Linked DNA regions of Canis lupus familiaris. The protein of the gene in region 2 purifies or fractionates together with the protein of the main gene of each other region. This does not show direct contact. Links are inferred from orthologs where the notes say so. Each region holds a gene or a part of one and is shown on either strand. Other genes may lie near its edges. The genes, in order: ACSL4, FBXO10 and PDE6D.

What was found.
Region 1: the proteins of FBXO10 (region 2) and ACSL4 purify together in Homo sapiens (affinity purification with western blotting; 3 studies listed by BioGRID, with this or other methods). This does not show direct contact. The link is inferred for Canis lupus familiaris from reciprocal best matches to the Homo sapiens genes FBXO10 and ACSL4.
Region 3: the proteins of FBXO10 (region 2) and PDE6D purify together in Homo sapiens (affinity purification with mass spectrometry; 3 studies listed by BioGRID and IntAct, with this or other methods). This does not show direct contact. The link is inferred for Canis lupus familiaris from reciprocal best matches to the Homo sapiens genes FBXO10 and PDE6D.

What each region holds. Positions count from the first base shown.
Region 1 is NC_049260.1:83,553,029-83,556,649, reverse strand, and holds part of ACSL4 (long-chain-fatty-acid--CoA ligase 4), read left to right. Parts: intron 1-1,373; 5' UTR 1,374-1,553; coding exon 1,554-1,904; intron 1,905-2,152; coding exon 2,153-2,330; intron 2,331-3,503; coding exon 3,504-3,613; intron 3,614-3,621. UniProt on the Homo sapiens protein: Catalyzes the conversion of long-chain fatty acids to their active form acyl-CoA for both synthesis of cellular lipids, and degradation via beta-oxidation. Preferentially activates arachidonate and eicosapentaenoate as substrates.
Region 2 is NC_049232.1:54,227,119-54,231,446, forward strand, and holds the start of FBXO10 (F-box only protein 10), read right to left. Parts: upstream 2,868-4,328; 5' UTR 2,738-2,867; exon of another isoform or gene 2,402-2,737; intron 1-2,401. Other genes in the region: TOMM5 (mitochondrial import receptor subunit TOM5 homolog), read right to left, coding at 2,998-3,032. UniProt on the Homo sapiens protein: Substrate-recognition component of the SCF (SKP1-CUL1-F-box protein)-type E3 ubiquitin ligase complex. Mediates the ubiquitination and degradation of BCL2, an antiapoptotic protein, thereby playing a role in apoptosis by controlling the stability of BCL2.
Region 3 is NC_049246.1:43,816,743-43,820,924, reverse strand, and holds the start of PDE6D (retinal rod rhodopsin-sensitive cGMP 3',5'-cyclic phosphodiesterase subunit delta), read left to right. Parts: upstream 1-1,341; 5' UTR 1,342-1,400; coding exon 1,401-1,450; intron 1,451-4,182. UniProt on the Homo sapiens protein: Promotes the release of prenylated target proteins from cellular membranes. Modulates the activity of prenylated or palmitoylated Ras family members by regulating their subcellular location.

The DNA.
Region 1 (3,621 bases), on a different chromosome or scaffold from region 2:
CCAAAATAGCTTTCTCAGTTGAAGGAAGGCCCAGCCCCCTGTGAATTATTATTACCCCTAAGGCCATTGCTGTCCAGTTGGCACTATTTCTCTGACCTGCAATAGCCCCTGGTTTTGTGCCCAATCAAATCAAAATTACTTTGTCTGATCTGTCAGATCCTGTACTACCATAAGCTCTTTAGTCAATGTGCATGCACTTTGTGCCCCATTCAGGCTAGTGAGTGCCTCCTTATTGGCACTCTCCAGCCCCTCAAAGCCCTTTCACTCCTACCTCTGTGTCTCTCCATGTGGCTTCCCTGCCTGGAATGCTCTCCATTCTTTCTCTCCTTTTCTGGGGCCAGTTTAATAAGTCTCCTCTCCACAGAGCCTGCTTGCCCTCCCTCTGAATGCCTGTTGCATTTATTGCATGTACCACACACCATAGCACTTCACTCTTTCTGCAAGGCTCTTCCCTGGAAATGTTTCAGCGGTGGTTGCTCTGGGAGTGGGGTTCCTGGCAGTCCAGGGTGGGGCCCTGGACACCCCCAGGCCCCAATTAAGCCAGAGCAGTTCTGCTTTAGTCACCTAGGTGGGAAGTCTGCATGAATTTTTATTTGAAGAAGTGGTTTAGCTGCCCCCCCCAGCCCCTGCCCCACCAAAAACAGTTTGAAAAACACTGGATCTGACTTGTGTGCTGATTGCCTCATAAAGTGCTGACTGGTCATGAGCAAGGGCTGGGGATGACACTAGTTTGGACCCATGCTTCTGCTGTTCCCAGGCACTGGGTGCAATTCTGAGCACAAAACGAACACTTAGGAAATGACTTGGCCATTATACTGCTTAACAGTTGGGGACGGATAGGAGCTAGTGAACAGCATTACCTCAGAAATTGACCTTAACGAGAGCTCAGAATAGCATTTCTGGGTTGATGGTTGGGAAAAAAGCATAAATCGGGGGGGGGGGGGGAAGGGGAGGTATTTCTCCCATTTCAGGTACAAAACCTAACCCTACTTAAATCTACCCAGTTTATCTACATATTTAAGAGAAACCTCATTATTGGCATTCCCAAGGTTCAACCAAACTTTACTATCCCTGCCATATGTTTGTATAAGCATGAAAGTAGTGTCACTCAAGTGACTTGCAGAGTGATGTTCAGAGTAGAGTATCCCTAAAAACCCAGACAAAATTAAATTCAGAAGTTTATGGCAATGCTTAAAAATGGAAAGTGCCAGTCTTTCAGACCAGTTATTTCAACTTTCTGTATCAGATCAATGATATAAACTACTGAAGACCTGAGTATTTAAATCAATATTGCTATCAACTTGTTAATGCTCTTGTTTTGTTTTGTCTTTTTTTTTCCTGCTCTCTGCCTGGTTCATTGTCTTCACCTACAGGTGTACTTTATTGTCAGCTTCCAAAGATTACTAACTTTTATCTGTATCATTAAAATTGAACTGCCTTGGCTATACTGCTACTCTTACTGCTGCTTCCGTTATTGCCTTCTTCAGCAAAATAAGGCTTTCTGCAGCCAAAGAATAACAAGAAATAAACACCACTGTAGAAGCCTTGCCACTATGAAACTTAGGCTAAACGTGCTCACCATTATTTTGCTGCCTGTCCACTTGTTAATAACAATATACAGTGCCCTTATATTTATTCCATGGTATTTTCTTACCAATGCCAAGAAGAAAAACGCTATGGCAAAGAGAATAAAAGCTAAGCCCACTTCAGACAAACCTGGAAGTCCATATCGCTCTGTCACGCACTTCGACTCACTAGCTGTCATAGACATCCCCGGAGCTGACACTCTGGATAAGTTATTTGATCATGCCGTGTCCAAGTTTGGGAAGAAGGACAGCCTCGGGACCAGAGAAATCCTAAGTGAAGAAAATGAAATGCAGCCGAATGGAAAGGTTTTTAAGAAGGTATGGCATCTTTGTGCTTTATAATTTTTCTTTGAAGGGGAAGGTATGCTTCCCTGTAGCATACATCAAACGCATTTTTAAATATGCTGCTATTCCATGTAAATATGCTGTGTAACCAATTCACAGAAGGTGCTCACAGCTTCTGTATATTTACTTAAAGGCAGTTTTAGAGTTCTATACTTTGAATAGCCTTTTAATTGCTTGTTTGAATAAATATACTCATATTAGAGCATGTCTCCATTTAACAGTTAATTCTTGGGAGTTATAAATGGATGAGCTATCTTGAAGTGAACTGCAGAGTGAATAATTTTGGTAGTGGACTCACTGCACTGGGACTGAAACCAAAGAACACTATTGCCATTTTCTGTGAGACCAGGGCCGAATGGATGATTGCAGCTCAGACCTGCTTTAAGTACAACTTCCCTCGTAAGTGCCTTACATTTTTGGAAGGGGAGGAAAGAGGTTTTTAGTAACATGTGAAATTGTCCTGCAATCCTATTGTTTTCATGGTAGGTGGTCTTTAGCAATTTTTCTGCATAAGTTCTATACATAAAACAGTACATGCTGAGGTGAAAAGCTCTCTGATGATTCCTGTTAAAGAAAGTTAATTTCTTAGAGCCAGTATGGGAATTGGCAGCTTAATGGACACAATTTAGAATTTTACTTTTCAATTGGAAGTGAATTATACCTGAAAGATTTGGGATTTGGGGGTATGATTTAGGAAGCGACACACAAAATAATGATTAAAACAAACAATCATTGCTTAGGATTATTCTAGTTCACTGCTTCATTTCGAGGCCTCCTCTTTGACTTATTCCATTTTACATGTGAAATGAGCACATAACAGCTTGAACTGACATTAGATATGATTGCCAAATTTTTATCATCCCTATACTTACTTTTACAGTTTTCTGGGTTTGCAAAGTCATTTATCCAACTCCAAAGTGGAAATTATTATCTCCCACAGGACAAGGGTAGAGCTGAATTTCCAATCTGATCTAAGTTTAGCAGATGTCCCTTGATTCTAACTGATCTTGGTTTCAGCTTAGGTTTCCTTTGTCTGGTAGCTCCAAAATATAGGCCCACCCACTTACAGCTTGAAGGTCACCAATCAACTTGGACACTGGGCCCACTAAAAAAAAACTCCCTAAAAGGAATGATAACATGATTCTGACTTAAGATCCTCAGTCTGAAGATTCTCAAGGACTTACCCATTTTTTGGTGCTATGACCAAGGAAAGCGCTTGTCACAGGGTAGTTCTAGGTGGGCTTGGTCTGACCTAAGTTAAGAGTTCAGCCAGAAACTTATGGGCCTTGAGAATCTTGATTGACTAATTTTTGAACAGTTGTAGCACTTCCAGTATTGCTGCATTTCTTCAGGTTTAGGATGTTAGAATCCTGAGAATTTATTTGTAAGGAGAAATTGGGGCTACCAGGAAGTTTCAGGCAATATTTAAAGGTAATAGTGGAGACTATGAAATCTAATGACATTATAAAATGTTTTTGCATCCATGAGTGTACCCATCACAAAAGGCTGACTTAAACAATGTACCTCATAAATGAGTATCAGTTAACATGTGTTTTATTTTTTGTTATGTAGTTGTGACTTTATATGCCACACTTGGCAAAGAAGCTGTAGTTCATGGGTTAAATGAATCTGAGGCTACCTACCTGATTACTAGTGTTGAACTTCTAGAAAGTAAACTTAAGGTAAATAA
Region 2 (4,328 bases):
TAGAGGTAAACAGATATGCTTAGCTCAAGCAAAGGAGGGGGAAGAAAGTTCACACTCCTACACTTGTTCTTCCTTCCAAATCTAGGCCCATGTTTGCCCACCTGTAACCTATGGAACACAGTGTTATTGAAATGGTAACTTACTTATGGAAGAACTTCAAAAAGCAATGATAAGGAGTTTAATAATGAAACTCAGTGGTAGTAGGAAGAACACTAACCTGATTGAGGAGCAAAATTCTAAGATTGTATCCCTCTATAAAATCTGTGGAATAATATTTTCTCCCAATTATCCACATTTCTTTTTATGCTCCATTTTAAGTTTACAAAACTCCAATCTGCTATGGTTCTTTCCTATTTCACATTTCACCTTCAAACCAAATGTATGCACATGGCCAATTGTTTTCTGATGTACCATGTTCAAACTGTTTATTAAGTATTAGACACCCCACAACCCTGTGGAGTTTATGACCTGAATTTTTAAAAAGTCAGTGATAAAAAAAAACACACCATCACATTTCCCTTACCCTAGCCTGAACATCTGCTGGAAACCAGGGTAACAATCACACATCCCAAGAAAAGCACTTAAGGACAGGATACAATAAGCAAGCATTAAAAGCCCCTCAACCTTGGGACAGCTGTTATTAGCCACCAAATCTTCCAGAGTCTCAAACTCCTCATCTGCAAAATTAACAATGTTATTAGATAATGAATTTAAGTAATGTTGAAGTTTGCATATAATTAGAATTAAGCATGCTATCTCACAACATCTGAAAATATGAATGAAACCTACTAATGCAGTGATTGCTAGCACAAATCACTTCTAATCACCTTATACCAAACACTAACCATTAACAATAAATAGCATTTGGCAAATGTTAGGCACTGTGCTAATGGCTCCACTTGCATTCTCTTACTTTATCCTTACATACGCTGAAGTAGATAGATATTCCCACTATGCTAATTTTATAGGTGAAGAAAATGAGATATAGAGGTTCAGTTGCTAAAAGTCATTCATCTCCCAAGTGTTGGAATCAGGAAACAAAATCAAGTCTGCTTGTCTTTAGGGCCAGTGACTGTGACCATGGTGCTATTTACCGCACCTCCTTAGGTCAGGAATGGATCTAAATTACCAACATGAAACACAGCATCACAGGGTAAAAACATATGCTATTTGGGTAAAGATGGTAGATCGAGCATAAATCTACTTCCACTCCCTCCTGAAATTCCATTAAATGACAGTAAAGATTTTCATTTTAAGGCATAAACCTAAAATAATTGAAAAAGAAGAGAGGAGACAATAGTAAAATGTTAGAAGTTGGAAACAGACAAGTAGCAAATAACATGGTAGCCCCAAGAAAACTAAAACAAACAACCCAATTTACATCCCAGAATCCCTAAAAGGTTCAGGAACCAAGATCTTCATCTACCTTTGGAAGTAGGAGTGAAGGAGTAGACACTAAAATAAGGATTGGTTGAAGATCTAAGTATTTGGAATGCTCTCTGCAATTCTACATAACATTAAGCAGCTTCTTGCTCAGCTCCCTTTCATAAGTAGTTTATTTTCTGAAAAGGGTAAAATAGAGGGTTCTCTGGATTATGGGATGCCAGGCAGGGATGGGCAGAAGTACTATACTCAATGCAGACTCAAATGCATACTAGACAGGAGATAAAGAAAACAAGATACAGAAACAAGAGATCCAACATGGGAGAAGAGGAAAGGAATTCTCAGGATTGCAGTGAAGGGAGTTCCCAGAATACAGCCCTTTACCAGGCACAGGAGACTACAGTCCAGACTGGGACAGGTCAGAAAGCCCTAGGAAAGACTTACTTGACAAGATCAAACAGAGTATCTAGTGAAACTGAACACTGGGATCAATTTAGATACTTGACAAAAAGTCTAGTTGATTTACTGGTAAGTTCATAGAAAATGAAGCCTAGGAAAACAAAAAGACGTATAGGAAAAGAAAACAAACAGCATTTAGAGTTCTTATGAAATTAATTCAAACAAAAGCACACTAGGTACATTGGAAGGAAGAAGAAATGAGGAGAGGTTAAGAGTGATGGAGTTAAGGAGAGGAAAGAGACCTAATTCTTCCATACATGGAGAAGGCAAGGTCTAAAGAGAAAATTCAAAAAATAACAATATAATCATGCTGTTTAGAGACATGAAGGTAAATACCAAAGCAATTAGCTAAAAAAGAGGTAACTGTAGTTGCCTCTGGGAAGAAGGTTAAGGACTGTCCCCTTCCTCCAATAAACTTAGAGAACTATCTGATGTAAAATACAGCATTTTTTCCTTTGGTGGTACTATAGATTCCCAGCATCAAGCAGTAATGTTGCCTTTCATACATAAAGATTGCTCAACAATAAAATAATGTCACTTTATCAGCATCAGCAAATCCTTCAGTCCAAAACAAGAGGAACTCAGTTTAATGTAGTTTGTAATAATTACAACATCAAAGAGGTCTGCAGCAAAAAGTAGGTTAAGAGAAATAAAATCCCAATTTTTTTCTTAGTTGATACTTTAATTAAAAATATAGACCAATGGTCCTGTGCTCAAGTGTTGTTGTGGCTGTGTGCTGGCTTTTGTAAAATATAACTAATCATAAGGAACAATTCAGCATATGTACTCCAGAAAGAAGTAAAAATGTAAACAGAAATTAGCAAGACAGTGCTATTGTAGACAGAATTCCCTTATAATTAATACTTGTTAGAAAATAGAGTTTGACATTACTTACAATTATATCAACATTCACAGAAGCTGAACATCACAGGCATATGGGTGTACTATCACCACAAGATGTCTTTACTTCCCAAGTATTTTTAAACTTTAGCTATGAAGGTCAGTTACCAGAGCCACACTTGTTCTTAACAAGTAGAATTTTTATGTCCATTCATCAAAGAGTCTCTTACATCTTTCTGGGCCTATTCATTTGCAGATCGAGTAGAAATTGTAACTGGGTTCCTCATATCTCGCATTCACATGTGATGCCCATCTTCATATGCTGTCCAATTTCTTTAGGATAAAAGGTGCTGAAAGAAAAATAAACCCAGAATTTCAGATCTATTAGCCCAAAAGTTACATTACAGAATTTATAAGACTGGAGGGGAAATCTTAGAGATTTAGTTTACTACATTTTTAAAAACAACTCCAAATAATGGCCAAACCTGAGACTGCAAACCTAGTAAAAGAGACTCACTATCTTTCCAATGTCATGAAGCTCTGACTATATTCTAAGGTCCACTTTTACGCTATATAAAATCTTTTCTCCAGGTAGTTCTCTTACGACCATAAAGAACAAATTCAATCCTCCTTTAAAGGACACTCTTTTTACTTTGGGTGATTTAACCGTTAAAGGAATAAAACACTAGAAAAAACAAATTGCCATTTTTCACCTTTATAAACCTATCTGAAGGGTGCTGGGTAGCTCTGTTGGTAAAGGTCTGACTCTTGATTTCAGCTCAGGTCATGATCTCAGGGTCTGAGACTGAGCCCGGCACCAGGGGTCCCTGCTCAGCACAGAGTCTGCTTGGGATTCTCTCTCTCCATCTCCCTCTGTTCCCCTCTCCCAAATAAATAAAGCCATATAACACTTATGTAATCCAAATCATTTATGATACAATCTTACTTCAGTTCTTATAGGGTTTGGTATGAAGGTGCAAAGAGAAAGGGCTAGAAAACAAAAATGTTGTTAGAGGGATCTAAATCTAAAGAAGTGTTATGACTGTCCTATATTAAAAGTGCTCTGGCCGAAATAAAAAGCACACAAAAAGATGTTTAACATCACCAATCACTAGGACAATGCAAATTAAAACTACAATGAGATACCACTTAACACCCATTAGGATGGCTACTATCAAACTGTTGGCAAGGATGTGGAAAAATGGGAACCCTTGTGCACTGTTTGTGGGAATGTAAAATAGTACAGCTGCTATGGATCACAGTATGGTGGGTCCTCAAAAAATTAAAAAGAGATATCTGTATATCCATGTTATAGCAGAATTACTCACAGTAGCTAAAATGTAGAAGCAATCTGAATCCAAGACGGATGAATGGATAGCAAACTGTGGTATATGATAAAATATGATTCAGCCTTAAAAAGGAAGGAGATTCGGACATATGCTATCACATGGATGAACCTTAGGACTCTGCAAAGTCAAATAAGCCAGTTACAAAAAGACAAATATTGTATGATTCCACTTATATGAGAGCCTTAAGAGATGTCAAAATCACAGAGAGAGTTTTGGTTTTACAAGATAAAGAGTTCTGGAGATGGTGGTGATGGTTGTATAACATTATGAATGTTTTTGATACCACTAAACTGTACA
Region 3 (4,182 bases), on a different chromosome or scaffold from region 2:
GGAAAAGAGATAGGAGATGTCCAAGGAAACCTTAGCTTACGCTACAATTTTACCTAGTTCCTGAAATCACATTAAATGTCACCTTGAGCAACAAATAACAAATCAAAACACTAAGTCCTTCCTAGACTGAAGATAAACAAACATCACACTCCTTCACTTACAGGAAATCCACCAAAATGAATGCTTACCTAACCTCTGGGTGTTTCAACCTGGATGAGGATACTTCACTAAGGAAAATAATAATCACACAGCCATGCTGCTAAAAATATCGCCACCTCAGTGTGGTGTAAACAGCCCAAACTGAGGGTCAGGAGACTTAGAGCCGAATTCTAACTCTGTCCCAAGTTGCTGTAACCAGTGGACGATCGCTTCGCCTCTCTGGGGCCTCAGTTTCCTCGTATGTAAAACAACAGAGGGTGGTTTGGCAAATTCTCTTAATATCCCTTCCGGTAGGGAGAGTCTGAGTATACGATCCATATCTCTCCCAGCCCAACGCAGGAGCACACCAGAAACCCCTGCAAAACAAGTAAAAGGCGCCCCAGACCAACAAACAAGCACGATTTAAAGGAGTCATTTTATCTTCCGTGGTTTAATCAAGTGTTTTTGTTTGTTGTTTGCAGCCTTACCATGATTTGCAGGAGATTTCTGAGTTCCATGTAAACAGATGTTACCTCCCTGTGGGCTGTCATCCTCTTCTGAGAGTTAAGGGGGTCTTCCCGCCCAGTTTCAAGTCTCCGAATTCAGAAACCCCCAAGGCTGAGGGAAGGTTTACGAATTTGCGCACACTGCGCGGCACACTGGAGTCTAAGTTACAGAGGAACAGGGTGCAGGGAATGCTGGGATTTGTAGTCCCCGGGCCTCTTTGTTGCGTGATGGGATCTGTGGTTCCCCCGGGCACTCCCCCGGAATGCTGGGAAATGTAGTCTCTCTCACATCGCACAGGGCAACCCGCCGTCATTTCAGCGCCCTAGTGTGCCCCGCGGAGGGAGCGGGCCCCTCGAGCCTCTGCAGATCTGAAGCCAACCCTCCGCTGGGGCAAACTCTAGGCAACAAGACCTAAAGAAAAATTTGTCCTACGGGACTTCCCGGGGAGGGCCCTTCCCACTGACGCTCGTCGTCCCCCGGCGAAGCCGCTGAATGTTTCTATTGGCTGCTCGGGATGCCAATCGGCGAGGAGGGCTTTCCATTGGCTTTGGGGCGGGCGCTCCGAGGCTAGGGGGAAGGAGAAGGGATCAGGAGCGGGAGCTGAGGGGAGGGAGAGGCCGGTCCGGGTCTGGCCGCTGCCGCTGCTCGCTGGAGGTCTCCAGGCCGCGCTGCGGCTCCGTCCTCGGTTCCTGGGCACCGTCTGCGAGGCTCCGCCGGGCCAGCGTGGGAGAGCCGCGGGCGGCGGCCGCCGCATCATGTCAGCCAAGGACGAGAGGGCCAGGGAGATCCTGAAGGGCTTCAAACTGTATCCGCCCGGGAGTGGGGCGGGGCGGGGCCGGGAGGACTTGGGGGGCGGCCGCTGGCGGAGGAGACGGGCCGGGGGCGGGGGCCGCGCCTGCTGGGCTCGGGACGGGAGCGCGGCGGGAGGGGACGGAGGGGACCGAGGGAACGGCGTCCCGGTCCCCCCGGCGGGACCGGGTACTGGAGGCGGGGCAGGGGGCGTCCTGAGGGAGGAAGGAGACGTTGCCGGGAGCCGGGGGCTGGAGTGGAGGAGCCCCTGTCCGAATTGGGCTGGGAGACGCGGCGGGCGTCGGAAACGCGTGGCGGTGAGGCCGGCTTGGGTCCGAGCCTCGGCCCGCGCCCGGAGGCCAGAAGGGGGGCTGCGGCCCGCAGGGAGGGCCGAGGGGCGCGGGGGGCTGGCCTCGCAGCCCTGCAGCCCGTTTGGCGGGAAGGCCCCGGGGGAGCAGGGAAAAGTGACTCGGAGCGAGTGACCTTGGGTGGGACAAATGCAAATGCTTGTGCTGAACTCTCCCGGGTTCCCCCGTCCCCCCCTCTACGCCACCCCCTCCTTGTTTCCACAACTTCTCTGCCTCACTTGTGGCTCCTTCCAGGGCTGGAGCAGAGAGGAAGGTGGGCCAAGAGAAGCCCGGGATCCACCTCATCTTAACACTCTCTTGGCCTTGTGAGGCACTGGATGGTGGCAGCTTCTCTCTCAGCCTTTCACTTTTCTGTCCAGCGAAGTGAGGACCCTGCACTCGAGCGTGAGATGCCTTGAGGTGTTTTGGTTTTGCACCGGGACTCCTGGCAAAGGTATCTGCGCGCTTGCGTTTGTGAGGTTCACGCGGAGACCAGGTGGAGCTGTCCAGCAATTATTTGATTACTTTGGGGACACGGTAGGATTTAGCAGGATCTAGAAATCATTGCCCCAGGCCTGGCCTGTTGTGGTGCCGCTTGTGCAACCTTCTTTCTCTCTTTAACGTATTAGGAAGCCTCGTGTTTAAATGGAGTGTCTGTCTGTGACCATAGGATGCGGATGAAAAATAGGCAAACCTGGACATTCCAATTTCACATTTTCCTGCTGAGCTTAAATCTCTTTTTACATCCCGTGCGTACAAAATGGAACGTTCTCAAATTCTTCTCTCCGTGAAGTTGTAGTCATCACTTTAGGTCTCCCCCCACCCCCCCAAAGGAGATTTAGTGAAGCACTGTTCTCTGAGCTGCCTTTGTGTTTTCACGATGCCCATTTCACCGCTGGAAATTTTAATTGCTTTTCACAGTCAGAAAGCAAGTTGGTAGTAAATTTTAGAACCCAAAATGCAACAACAACAACAACAACAAAAAAGTTACAGGACATTTTAGATATACAAATGAAAAGTTTCAAATGGAAGCTGATCTGCTATGCTTCTTTTGAAAAAAAACGGAAGGCATTATACACTAGGCATAAGGTCATTCGTGGTAAAGTTTAGTAAAAGCCTCTTTTTATAGCTTCGTGTACCTTTCGGTGTCTTTTTTCATAATGGCACCTATAAGTAAATAGGGATGGCTGAAGTCTTAGAAAAGCTGTGACATGGATTTTATTTTTCCCCTAAGTAATTTGTATTGTTAGTTACATGTATACTGTAGATAGTAAAATCAGAGACTGGGGAATTGAGAGATTTCAGAAGCAACGTTTTTGGTCCAATTGGAATTAACATACTGCTGAAAACAAGAAAGAATCTTTTTAATGGTTTTCAAACAAAGAAACTTCTTACCTCAGTCTGGGCTCTTGAAGCTGTTGAGAAAGAGGTTAAGGGACACATGTGGAAAAGAGTAGAAATCATCATCAGGTGAATTAACCAGTTCAATGATGACGTTAGTGTATTAAGAAACAGGCTTTCAGAGAAGGTTTGACCTGAGCTGATTAAATCTCAAGGGAAGCAGCCGCATAAAAAAGTTAGCATGGGAGCAAGAGGATGCTCATCCTCTGGTAGCCTTTATTGACATCTGAGGATTAAGAGAGAAAGGAAAGGAGTTCTAGAATTTGCTACTACCTTCAGGAAAACACAATCTTTTAGTAAAACAAACTGCTTATTGTCCACCTTTTTTATTGGGTGAATTGTTTTTCTGAACTTTCATTGAATCTGTTTCTGTAAGAGTTTTTTTCTACCAAAAGAAAGCACCATTAGAGTCTCCTACCAGCGATGTTGACAGTGCTCAGTTCCACATTGACTCTGTCTTTTATATTTTTGCCAATTTAGACAAGTGATACCTTATTTTAATTTGTATTTCCCTGGATATCTAGATCCCTGGACAGGTAATAGAGCATAGTGGTTAAGAAGAATTCTGGACTGTAGAGCTGTTCTGTGTTGGAATCCCAGCCCTACACTCTTGGTTGTCCCTGAGCAACTCATTTAACCTCAGCCTCAATTTCCTCATCTGTAAATGGGGTTAAAAATAGTACTTATCTCATAGGGTTGTTACGAAGATTGAATGAGTTGATAGCTGAAGCATTTAGAAAAGCACCTGATGCCTAGTAAACATTATATATTAGCTCTTATTATTGTTAGAGAAGTTGCAAAATCTTCTGTTTGGCAGTTCCTTTTCTGTGAATCACTTGTTGATTTTGTTTTTTGCCCATTTTACTATTGAATTTTTTACTTACTGGTTTGTGTGTGTGCCTTAATATCATTTGCCTGTTCTGTATGTTGCAAATATTTTCCATCAATATATTGTTCATCTCCTTTTTAGTTGAACAAATTTTATTTATTTATTTATTTA